2 linked regions of the Cricetulus griseus genome follow. The protein of the gene in region 2 interacts with the protein of the main gene of each other region in a biochemical or structural test. Links are inferred from orthologs where the notes say so. Each region holds a gene or a part of one and is shown on either strand. Other genes may lie near its edges.

Region 1 (4,890 bases), on a different chromosome or scaffold from region 2:
AGTCTTGACACCTTAGCCTTCTGTTCTATTTGAGACTTTTGGGAGAGCATGGGTAGCCCAGTGCTTGCAGTGGGAGCACGAGGATCTGATTTTTTTTTGGTTTTTCGAGACAGGGTTTCTCTGTGTAGCTTTGGTGCCTATCCTGGCACTCGCTCTGGAGACCAGGCTGGCCTCTAACTCACAGAGATCCGCCTGCCTCTGCCTCCCGAGTGCTGGGATTAAAGGCGTGTGCCACCAATGCCCGGCTGAGGATCTGACCCTTTTGATCCCACACACCTGTGTAAAAGCCAGGCACCTGGTGATTATTTGTAATCTGAACTGGGGGTAGGTTGGGTTGTGTGGATGTGGTAGTGTAGGGAGAGATGGGCAAATCTTGAGGTATTGGTGGCCAGCCAGTTACTATGATCCTGCAGATTATGCTAAATGTTTTGAGACCTCTGTCCCTTCATTTCAGGGCTCCAGTGACAAACCAAAATACAATTCCACCAAAGTCCAACTTAGGGGAAAGGTGTCAGTTTATTGGGCTCACTTACAGAACATAAGGGTCACTTATAGGAGAGTGAGTGACTGCAAAGCAGCCACACCACTAGGAATTCTCTTCCCAGCATGGATGGCAGCTTCCTATAGCTACATAGACTCCATTGGAGTCCCCTCTTCTGTTAATTTTCCACTCTAGACCTCCTGAGGCCATGAGGCCATGTGCAATTAGATCAGGATTCCACACACACGGCAGGAAGTGTAGGGGGAGCAGCTGGAATTCCAGGTAAGTATTCACTGACTCTCGTTGCCTGCTCCTCCTCTGAGGGAAAGCCATCACTCAGCAGGATCTGCTTTGGGGTTGTTTTAAACGTAGTCACAGCTGTCCTGGTGAGAATGGTGGCTGTTATGCTCAGAAGACAGTGCTCTGCAAGGCTGCCCCTGCTTCAAAAAATGAATGTGCTGGAGACGGACATCCAATTGTTGACCTGTGACCTCTACACTTGCACACACCAGCATACACATAAACATACATGTGTGTACGCACACAGAAAACTTTTAAAAGATCAATTTTTATTTTACCAGCTTACATAATGAAATTTACTTCTGGAAAAGAATGTATGAAAATGGGAGAGTGCTTAGATGTCATAGAAGAATTTCCATTTAGAAAATGTCATGTGTTTAGTTTATCAGGATATGTATAATTTTAAACATGTATGTCTAAGGATAGTTTTAGCTGTGTAGTTGCAGATTGCCAGTTAAGCAAAACACCCCTTTTACTAATGTGATTTAACCAGGTCGGGTGTTTGCACCTTTAGTGCCTGCGTGTATGCTGGCTCCTTATTTTGTCAGCATATTAGAGAACTTAGAGAGAGTATGTTTTTGTATGTTTGTACTTTACATGTAGGTATATGTTTAACAAGGCATCAGTAGACTTTGCTCTTTGCCAATAAATATAGACCCATGAGAATGTGAATAATTTTAAAGAATTCCTTTACATTATTTGACAATACCTTTAGATAGCTACAGTTACTATGGTTTTCTACTAGTTTTAAAGCTACTTCTTGTCTTCCAGTAATGTAACAATACAGACTGATGTGTTTATATTTGTACAGTTGTTTGGTTCATTCTTTAGAAAAGCTTCTAGGTATAATTGCCAGGTTGAGTATAGACTGCTTGACTTTTAAAACCATCCTCTTAGATCTCAAGAGAGACCAAACCAACCACAGAAAGAATTGAAAAGGCTCTCTGGAGCAGTAGTCTGATGTCATTCTTGTTCCTGTGCTTTCTTTTGTTTTAACCCTGCATGGTTGTGTAATGGTATTCTTTTTCCCTTTTGTAGTAAGCTGTGCTAGAACAAAATGCAATGAAAGAAACACTGGATGAATGAAAAGCCCTGCTTTGCAGCCCCTCAGCATGGCAGGCCTGCAGCTCATGACCCCTGCTTCCTCACCAATGGGTCCTTTCTTTGGACTGCCATGGCAACAAGAAGCAATTCATGATAACATTTATACGCCAAGAAAATACCAGGTACTAATGAAACCACTAATACTGGAGCATTTTTCACTAAAATAGAATAAATTACTATAGAATTGACACAACTTATAAAACTCATTTACTCTTTCAAGCCTCCCTCTTCTGATTAATTTTCTTATTTAAAACATTTTTTTTTTTGTTTTCTTTTCTGTTCTAACATCTGCTGGGTAATTGACTTGTGTTGGTTCTGTTTGTGAGTTCCTTATCCCCTCCCAAGTTCACTGTTCCTTTATATCCATTTGGCTGTATCAGTCCTAGTGAGCTGGGTAGGGATGGAGATTGGTTTGAAAGTATTCAGCCCTGAGCTGGTAGAAACATACCTAGTGGAGATTCAGTTATATGTAACTAACATGTGCAGAAATAATTCTTAAATAAATTTGTTAGTGCCATTTTAATATATGCTTACAGCAGCACAGCTGTGTATAACAGCCATTTCACTCCCCTGTTATTCTTGAGTAAATGTGAAGACAGTGGTTTTCTTTTTGTAAAGTTGTCTGCAGATTTAGATTTGAGAAAACAGGGAAATTTCTATGTTTAAAACAAAAGTCAATTCTTATATGTGGTGCTTCATTAAGAAGTGTGTGGTCTTTTCCCATATTTCAGGTTGAGCTGCTGGAAGCGGCTCTGGACCATAACACCATTGTCTGCTTGAACACCGGCTCAGGGAAGACGTTCATCGCGGTCCTGCTCACCAAAGAGCTGGCCCATCAGATCAGGGGCGACCTCAACCCACGTGCAAAAAGGACCGTGTTCCTCGTCAACTCTGGTAATCAAATATCATTTACCAGATGTGAGGAGAAAATTGGATGAGACTTTGTATTTATCTCTGTGGGTATTAAGTTAAATTATTGGAAGTAAAGAGTTTGGCAAACAATGAGCTTACTGAAGCCCTGCTAGCCAAAACACTATTTTATTCTCTGTAGCATCTTTCTCAATAGTTCAGACTCTGCATTTCTCCTAATGGGGTTTGCTCTGGGGAGATGGCTAGATTGTTAAAATTACTTTGATTCTTGGTTCACTCCATACAGCAGGTTGAAGGCTGACTAGAGATAGGAACCTACTTGATGGGCGATTTTAGCTGGAGCAGTTTTAGAAACTTATATGGGTCTTTAAAGCTACTGAGGAGACTTAGTGTCTGATGTCTTAAACCAATGTCTGTATGCTTGGAATTGTCGACATGAAAGTATAACCTGGGAATCCAGAATGACCTCCCCTTCTGTTTTTTTTAAGACAGTCTTAGCATAATTGTGTGATTTGAACATGACTTCTTGGTGGATTGACCTGATTTCAGTGAGGAGAGCAGAAGGGACAGGTGTCGAGTAGGTGTCCTTCTGGTTTGAAAAGGACTTAGATCTTTAGGATGGAGGAAGTCAACTGTGAAGGAGATATGAGGTTGTCTGGAGGAAGTGATGGAAGAGGAAGTGGCAGGCCTCATCCATGATTTTAGAGGGTGATCTTGGAACTATGATTTTTAAATTAGCCATTTAAAAAATTGGTGGCTAGGTATAACTGATAATTTTTGTAACTGTTCAGAAAGCTAACTGGGTACATTGTTCCTATTTGCATGTTTTCTTCGTGGCCAGCAAACCAGGTTGCTCAACAAGTTTCAGCTGTCAGAACTCACTCAGACCTCAAGGTTGGGGAGTACTCAAACCTAGAAGTAAATGCATCTTGGACAAAAGAGAGATGGAGCCAAGAGTTTACTAAGCACCAGGTGAGACCTGCAGGGACATTTCACTGTACAGACACTACAAGCCCGTTAGCCTTAGCTATGGAGGAAGCTAGAAAGGGACATTCTCCCAGTCCTTTCCATTCTCTCCCTGTAAGGTTCATCTGAAACCAGTATGAACAATACATTACTAATGTGTTTGCCTCCAGAGGGTAGAAAAGAGAGCAGCTGCCGTTATTTACTTGCTTGAAAAACACAAATACCTGTGACTTATTGAACTTGAAGAGAATGTATTTTGAAACTGGGAAAGTTCCTTGTTTGAGGTCCCTGGTCTTTGAGGGAGGCTCCCTCTGCCTTCATGTTTTCAGTAGATAGCATGTGCTAAGGGCTTCTTGTGTGTGGTACTGGGAGATACACAATGGTTGAGGGCTGCTTTGTAACTAACATCCAACAGCCTGCTAACCACTAGTAGTTCTCGAATATTAGAATGAACCTACTTAAATAAAGCCTTCCAGAACAATAGGCTGTATAAAGAGTATTTAATTTTTCAGAAAACCCTGTCAGCTCTGTAAATTCTTCTATGTTTTGACTAAGTTGACAGGTCTCATATTTCAATGGCTGGGGAAACCTGAAGTAGATTTAGTAACTTACCATAAGGACGTGGTCTCCCTTTCTAAGGCGTTTTTCTCATAATCTTTTCCCATACTATCACTGGTCATTGTTTACATCTTGGTTCCTATGTTTTACATATGTAAATTTCTTTGCTTTAATTTTGACCCGTGAATTTCATAATCTTCACTTCCATATACTGACACTCTGGTCTTTGGTAGAGATATAGCCAGGCAGGTTAATGGCATTTGTGTACTGATATCAGTTTTATTTTAGGTTCTCATTATGACTTGCTATGTCGCCTTGAATGTTTTGAAAAATGGTTACTTATCACTGTCAGACATTAACCTTTTGGTGTTTGATGAGTGTCATCTTGCAATTCTAGACCACCCTTACCGAGAAATTATGAAGGTAGGTTTTTAGACTTTATCAACTTCAGTAATTGATGGTCAAATTATTAAGTTATTGAGTAAATACAGTTTTAACATTTCAAAATGTTAATTTTATGTGGATAGGAGTTTGCCTGCATATGTGTCTATGTACCACATTTGTGCCTGGTATTCTCAGAGGCCAGAAAAGGGTCCTTCTGAAACTGGAGT
Region 2 (5,105 bases):
CATTATAGGGCTTCCAGCAATTTGTAGACCCGTTTCACCTTGTGCCTGGGAGGTGACCGAGTCCTGGGGGGCAGATATTGGGGTCTGGAAGCCGCCTTGGAAATGGCCAGCTCAGCGCTGTGGAGGAACCCAGAAAACCTTAGTTCCGAGGCTGCACGATTTTTCCAGAGTGTCAGTTTCTAGTGACTTCCTTGGGAACGAGACCAGGCTTTCCTCTGTTTTGCATGTTGCTCGTTTCGGCCTGTCATAGTGGTTTTTCATTCTGAAGACAGTCAGTAGAAGCTCAGAGAGGTTAAGAGCCCTGTAATGTTCAGGAGCCAGCAGGCATTAGGCAACCTGTTTGAACACTCCTAGAGAAGTGGCTTCCAGTATCTTTGACCTTGACCCACCGTTGGGACTACCTGTTTGGTGTGGATTAGACCAGTGGATGCCCAGATAGGGTGGAAATAAGAACCTACTGTGTGTTCTGCAAGGGGAGATTGCCTTTTAGAAAAGAATGCGGTAGCCCTCTGGATCAACCGGTTCGTTTTGGTCACTGGCAGCTTTGAAGATGGCTGCTGCTGCGTGGGCCTCTGCGTTGTGGCCTGAGGGAGAGACAGTCCCCTCTAACCAGAAAACCTTGGGCGAGAAAAGAGATGCCTGTAGGATAATTCCTGGCTAATGGCAGACTGGGAAGGAACCCAAGATCCAGGTGGGCCAGTGTGCTGTAATCGCAAGGTCGGAGTGCAGCTTCATTTTATTGTAGGCACCATGGCTTTTAATTTTGCTTGAAAGTACCCCCCCCCATACAATTTCTTCAATGAGACGCAACCATATTTCCAAATGTAGGAGGATGGAAGGCCATTGTATCTGAATTCTAGAAACGTTACAAAGAGTTTTGCGGCTCCCCAGCTTGAAGGGAAGTAAATACTTAGTAAATTAACATTAAAAATAGAATTCACAGTGGGTTATTATCCCCCTTTTACACGTGTGAAGCTGATAGCTGGAGGTGGGGGGGCAAGGTTCAGAACTTGACAGGTTTGGGTTGTTCCCCCACTCCCTTCCAAAAGGGTTAATGGTTTAGCATATGTAAATTCTCTACCCAACCGGAAACTTCCTATTAAAGTGGGTTATAGGTGGGGTCCCCCACCCAAGGTTTTTAAGCTGTCTGGCTGTACTCCGGCTTTTATTGCCCAGGAGGATTTGCTACAAAATAACCTCTATGACAGTGAAAAATGAGTGTAGAGTTGCCAATCAGGATTGGGATTTTTGAGCATATACTGTGGCCCTGCTCCCTGGATTCTCCCCCAACTCCCAGTTGTGTGGGAGGGTACCACTGCAGCTTGGCGGGCTCTGCTGCCAGCGGCTGGAATGCATACAGCATGGTGGCTGATGAGCATTTGTGGGAAATATCTCCCCCCCCCCCAGCCTGTGTAGTTATTTAAATAAGGTGTTGCTTGTAAAAGCTTTGATTTACACATTCTTAAGAAGCAACATTTTGTAACTGAGTTTCTTTGTCAACACCATTGGGTTTATTCTTTGCCGTTCAAGAGACTGGGCTGCCAGGATGACAAAAATGTTTCTTTTTTTTTAAGCTATATGAATTGTTATTGTAGAAAATGTAACAGGATTTTTAAAAAGTTTCTACCTTGAAGTAATTTTACATGAAAGCAGGGTGAAAGCAGATTTGGTTTGTGCCTGTCCATTCCTCCTCCTCCTGCAGTTATAGGTGTTTGGGCGGTGGCTTTCCAGCTGCCTCTTCCCCACTGACATCCTCAAGCATGCTCCAGATCAGCCAGTTCACCCTGACATGCTTGTGTGTACAGAATACAGGGAATTTTTGTTTGTTTGTTTGTTTGTTTGTTTTGCCCCTTCTCTTTCAGAGACAGGGTGGGCTGTATAGCCCGAGCTGGTCTCAAGCTCATTCTCCTGCCTCTACTCCTGGAGACATGGGATTACAGGCTTATGTCACCACAAAGAGCTGGTGCAGGTATGTATGAACACAGCCCATTGCCATCGTTATACCAGGTGCTATCACTTCTCTTGGCTTCAGAAACATGATTACACTTGGATTATTTTTTAAATTTTGTTTTTATTTGTATGATTAGTGTTTACCTACATGCATGGATATGTACCACATACATGCCTGGTGGCCCCAGAGACCAGAAGGGGCATCAGGAAACGAGTCACAAACATTTGTGAATGTGGATCCTGGGAACTGAACCTGGGTCCTGCAAGAGCAACAAGTGCTCTGAACTGCTGAGCCATCTCTCCAGACCCTACAACTGATATTAGAATATGGAGTTATGAAAGAATGTGTAAATTTGGGTTTCTGTCATCTAAATCTTTCTTGGTTGTATTTTGGTTTTTGAAACATGGTACCCAGGCTGGCTTTGAACTCATTTTCCCTTGTGGGACATCCCCAGATGTGTGCCATTACATCAGCAGTGTTTTGCCAAAGCCTTGAAAAGTAGGCCTCTTCCACCTTTGTCTGCATTTCCAACTCCAGATGCCTACATCCTCTTCCTTTATCTGCTCCTGACCCAGCACCCTGCAGCTTCACTCTACCAGCATCACTATCTCACGGGCAGTGAGGCTACGCTGGCCCAGCTCCAGCCTGCACCATCCTTTTCACCCTGGCAGGTTAAATAAAGTGAAGCTCTTGTGGTGAAATGGCGTCAAGCTACAACTTAATTTCCCACTTTCACCTCTAGAGCTGAAGAACCTGAAATCCCTATTTATACCTTTTTTTTTTTTTTTTTTCCTCTTTGAGACCAAACAACTGTGCCTTTCCATCAGTTTTTCAGTAGAGCTGTGCAGGGTTCATCATCTAACCTGGGAGCTTCCTCCAGTCAAGTGTGGTATTTGGACAGCCGGCAGACCTGGTGGGCCATACCTAAGTCAGGCCTGAGGCTCAGGAGCAGCACCAGGGCTGAGTGTGTCCACTTGCTTCACACCCAGTGCATCTGGAGTCCTCCTGATGCCTGAAGGTACACATGTGGTGTCCCTGAGATGGTATACCAAAATGTGTTGCTGCAGCCCCAAGCAGGGGGCCCACCGGGTGTGTGAAGCAGCCAGACCCTCTGCTGTCTGCCAAGAACACAGTGCCTCTGGCTCTTGGACACTGGACCAGCATCCGGGAACTCTATTCTTGGTCTTCCCTAGTGTCAGCAGGGGCATTGGATAGATGAACATAGTCATCCACTTCAGTCCTGTCCTCCTAGGCATGTGTGGGGAGTTTGGCATCTGTATGGGTCTCAGTTTCCCTGTCTGGAGCATGTGAGATATTTCCCAGGTTGCTCACACCCTCTGGACATTGTGACCTGGATTCTTTTTCTTTCTGGTGTGGCACAGGTTGAAGGGGAGCCATGTGTATGTGTCCCCAGTCATCTTGAGAACTTGCTGGTAGGATGATTGGTTACCCAGAGTAGCCAGACAGGGCCCATTAGAACCAGGTTCAAGATGAGCCTGCAGAGGTAGGCTTCCATTGCTGCCTATATACATTACAAGTGGTGGGCTCTGTTCCATATGCCAACACAGATATGAGTTCCAGTCAGGTACTTAGACATGGTTAAGACTGAATGGAATCTTATGGAGATGCAAAGAGCATTAAAAGCATCCACCTCCCATGTTTACAGTGTGTCTGTACAGGTGCTATTGGTTCCTTGTCCCTACTCCTCCTGACTTCCAGGGAGCTCACTTGAAGCTTAGAGTCCTTGGAAGCATCTTGAATAGCTCACTGGAGAGCACAAGGCCAGGGGAGCTCGGGAGGGATGCTGAGGAGGGCAGCAAGGGAGTGAGGAGTTGACTTAGGGATTAGGTAGCTGGATGGTGCCAGTGGTTTAAAGAGAGGATTTGGGGCCTTGGAGATATTGACCAGGCCAACACTGTAGGAGTCAGAGAGGAGGAAGAGACCCCGGGCAGGAACTGCTTCCAAATCTTTGTGGTGCCAGGTGGGCAAGCTCATTCTGGAAAAACACCAGATAGTTCTTCATGTGTGTGTTTGGGCAGGAACTGGCTCCAGGGCTAGCCATGGGGACCACCCTGTCAGCTCTCTTAGCTTCCTTTACCTAGGAGAGGGTGGTGATGGATTGTGGGTTGTATTAGATATTTTTCTTTTGTTGTGATAAAACACTATGATCAAGGCAACTTATAGAAGGAAGTTTATTTGGCACTGATCATTCCAGGGGGTCAGAGTCCATCATGGCAAGGAGGCTTGGCAGCAGAAGCAGGAAACTGAGAGCTCACATCTTTTCAGACATTTACAAGCATGAAGCACAGCAAAATGGAAATGGCAGAGTCTTCAAGCCTTCGAAGTCTGCCTCTTGTGATGTACTTCCTCCAAGGCCATGCCTCCTGAGCTAACTAGGGATCAACTGTTCAAATGCCCAAAACTAGGGACATTTTTCATTCAAACCACCACAAGGGTGAACGGAGTTGAGCCAGTGCCTCATTGTCTCTAGGGGAGACTCATCTGTGTGAATGGTCCAGCTAGACAGGCATTGGGTTTGTCTGTACCTTCATCCTGACAACCACTGTTATGAAACATTGAGTAAATTATTTCATGGCCATGGCATGAAGAGAGGCCAGATGTCACTGAGTTTTAGGGCTATTAGGTTTGGGGTGCTGAAGGGAACAATTTGAAGCTGGGGGTGAGTGCTGGAGGTAGGTGTGAGAAAGCCAGGAGAAGTGGATAAGGCTCTGGCCCCGGACAATCTGGGATTCCATAGCTGGCGCTCAGTCAGCCCTCTAGCCCTGACTTGGATGGGCCGGAAGGAGAGCCAGATCACCTGCAGGCCTTTCCCCACTTGTACCCAGAAGACCTAGGAGATGCCACAGGTAATTGCTGTTCCAAAGGGCGTGGGACTCCCAGATGCTGCCAGTAGGGCCTCTGGGAAGGCAGAAAACAGTCCCAAGTCACTCCCAAGGACGCCAGTGTCAGAAGTGGGGCTGGGCCAGAAACCTGGCTTGGATGGACCTGAGAGAACTGTTTCTGCATTGACACAGTCTAGGAAATGGCACAGCACCAGAGGACTTTCCAAAGCCTTCCAACAATTAAGTTTACAGCTTCTTGTCTGTCTGCTTACCTGCCCCTTTTCTAAAAAAGCTTACAGGTGTAATCTGGG

Evidence for each region. The genes of interacting proteins can lie anywhere in the genome.
Region 1: the proteins of Ago2 (region 2) and Dicer1 form a complex in vitro, tested with the Homo sapiens proteins (2 studies listed by BioGRID and IntAct). The link is inferred for Cricetulus griseus from reciprocal best matches to the Homo sapiens genes AGO2 and DICER1.

Annotation. Positions count from the first base shown.
Region 1 is NC_048598.1:190,294,075-190,298,964, forward strand, and holds the start of Dicer1 (endoribonuclease Dicer), read left to right. Parts: upstream 1-1,822; 5' UTR 1,823-1,863; coding exon 1,864-2,007; intron 2,008-2,616; coding exon 2,617-2,779; intron 2,780-3,596; coding exon 3,597-3,727; intron 3,728-4,567; coding exon 4,568-4,702; intron 4,703-4,890. UniProt on the Homo sapiens protein: Double-stranded RNA (dsRNA) endoribonuclease playing a central role in short dsRNA-mediated post-transcriptional gene silencing.
Region 2 is NC_048595.1:370,847,324-370,852,428, reverse strand, and holds the start of Ago2 (protein argonaute-2), read left to right. Parts: upstream 1-1,929; 5' UTR 1,930-1,944; coding exon 1,945-1,969; intron 1,970-5,105.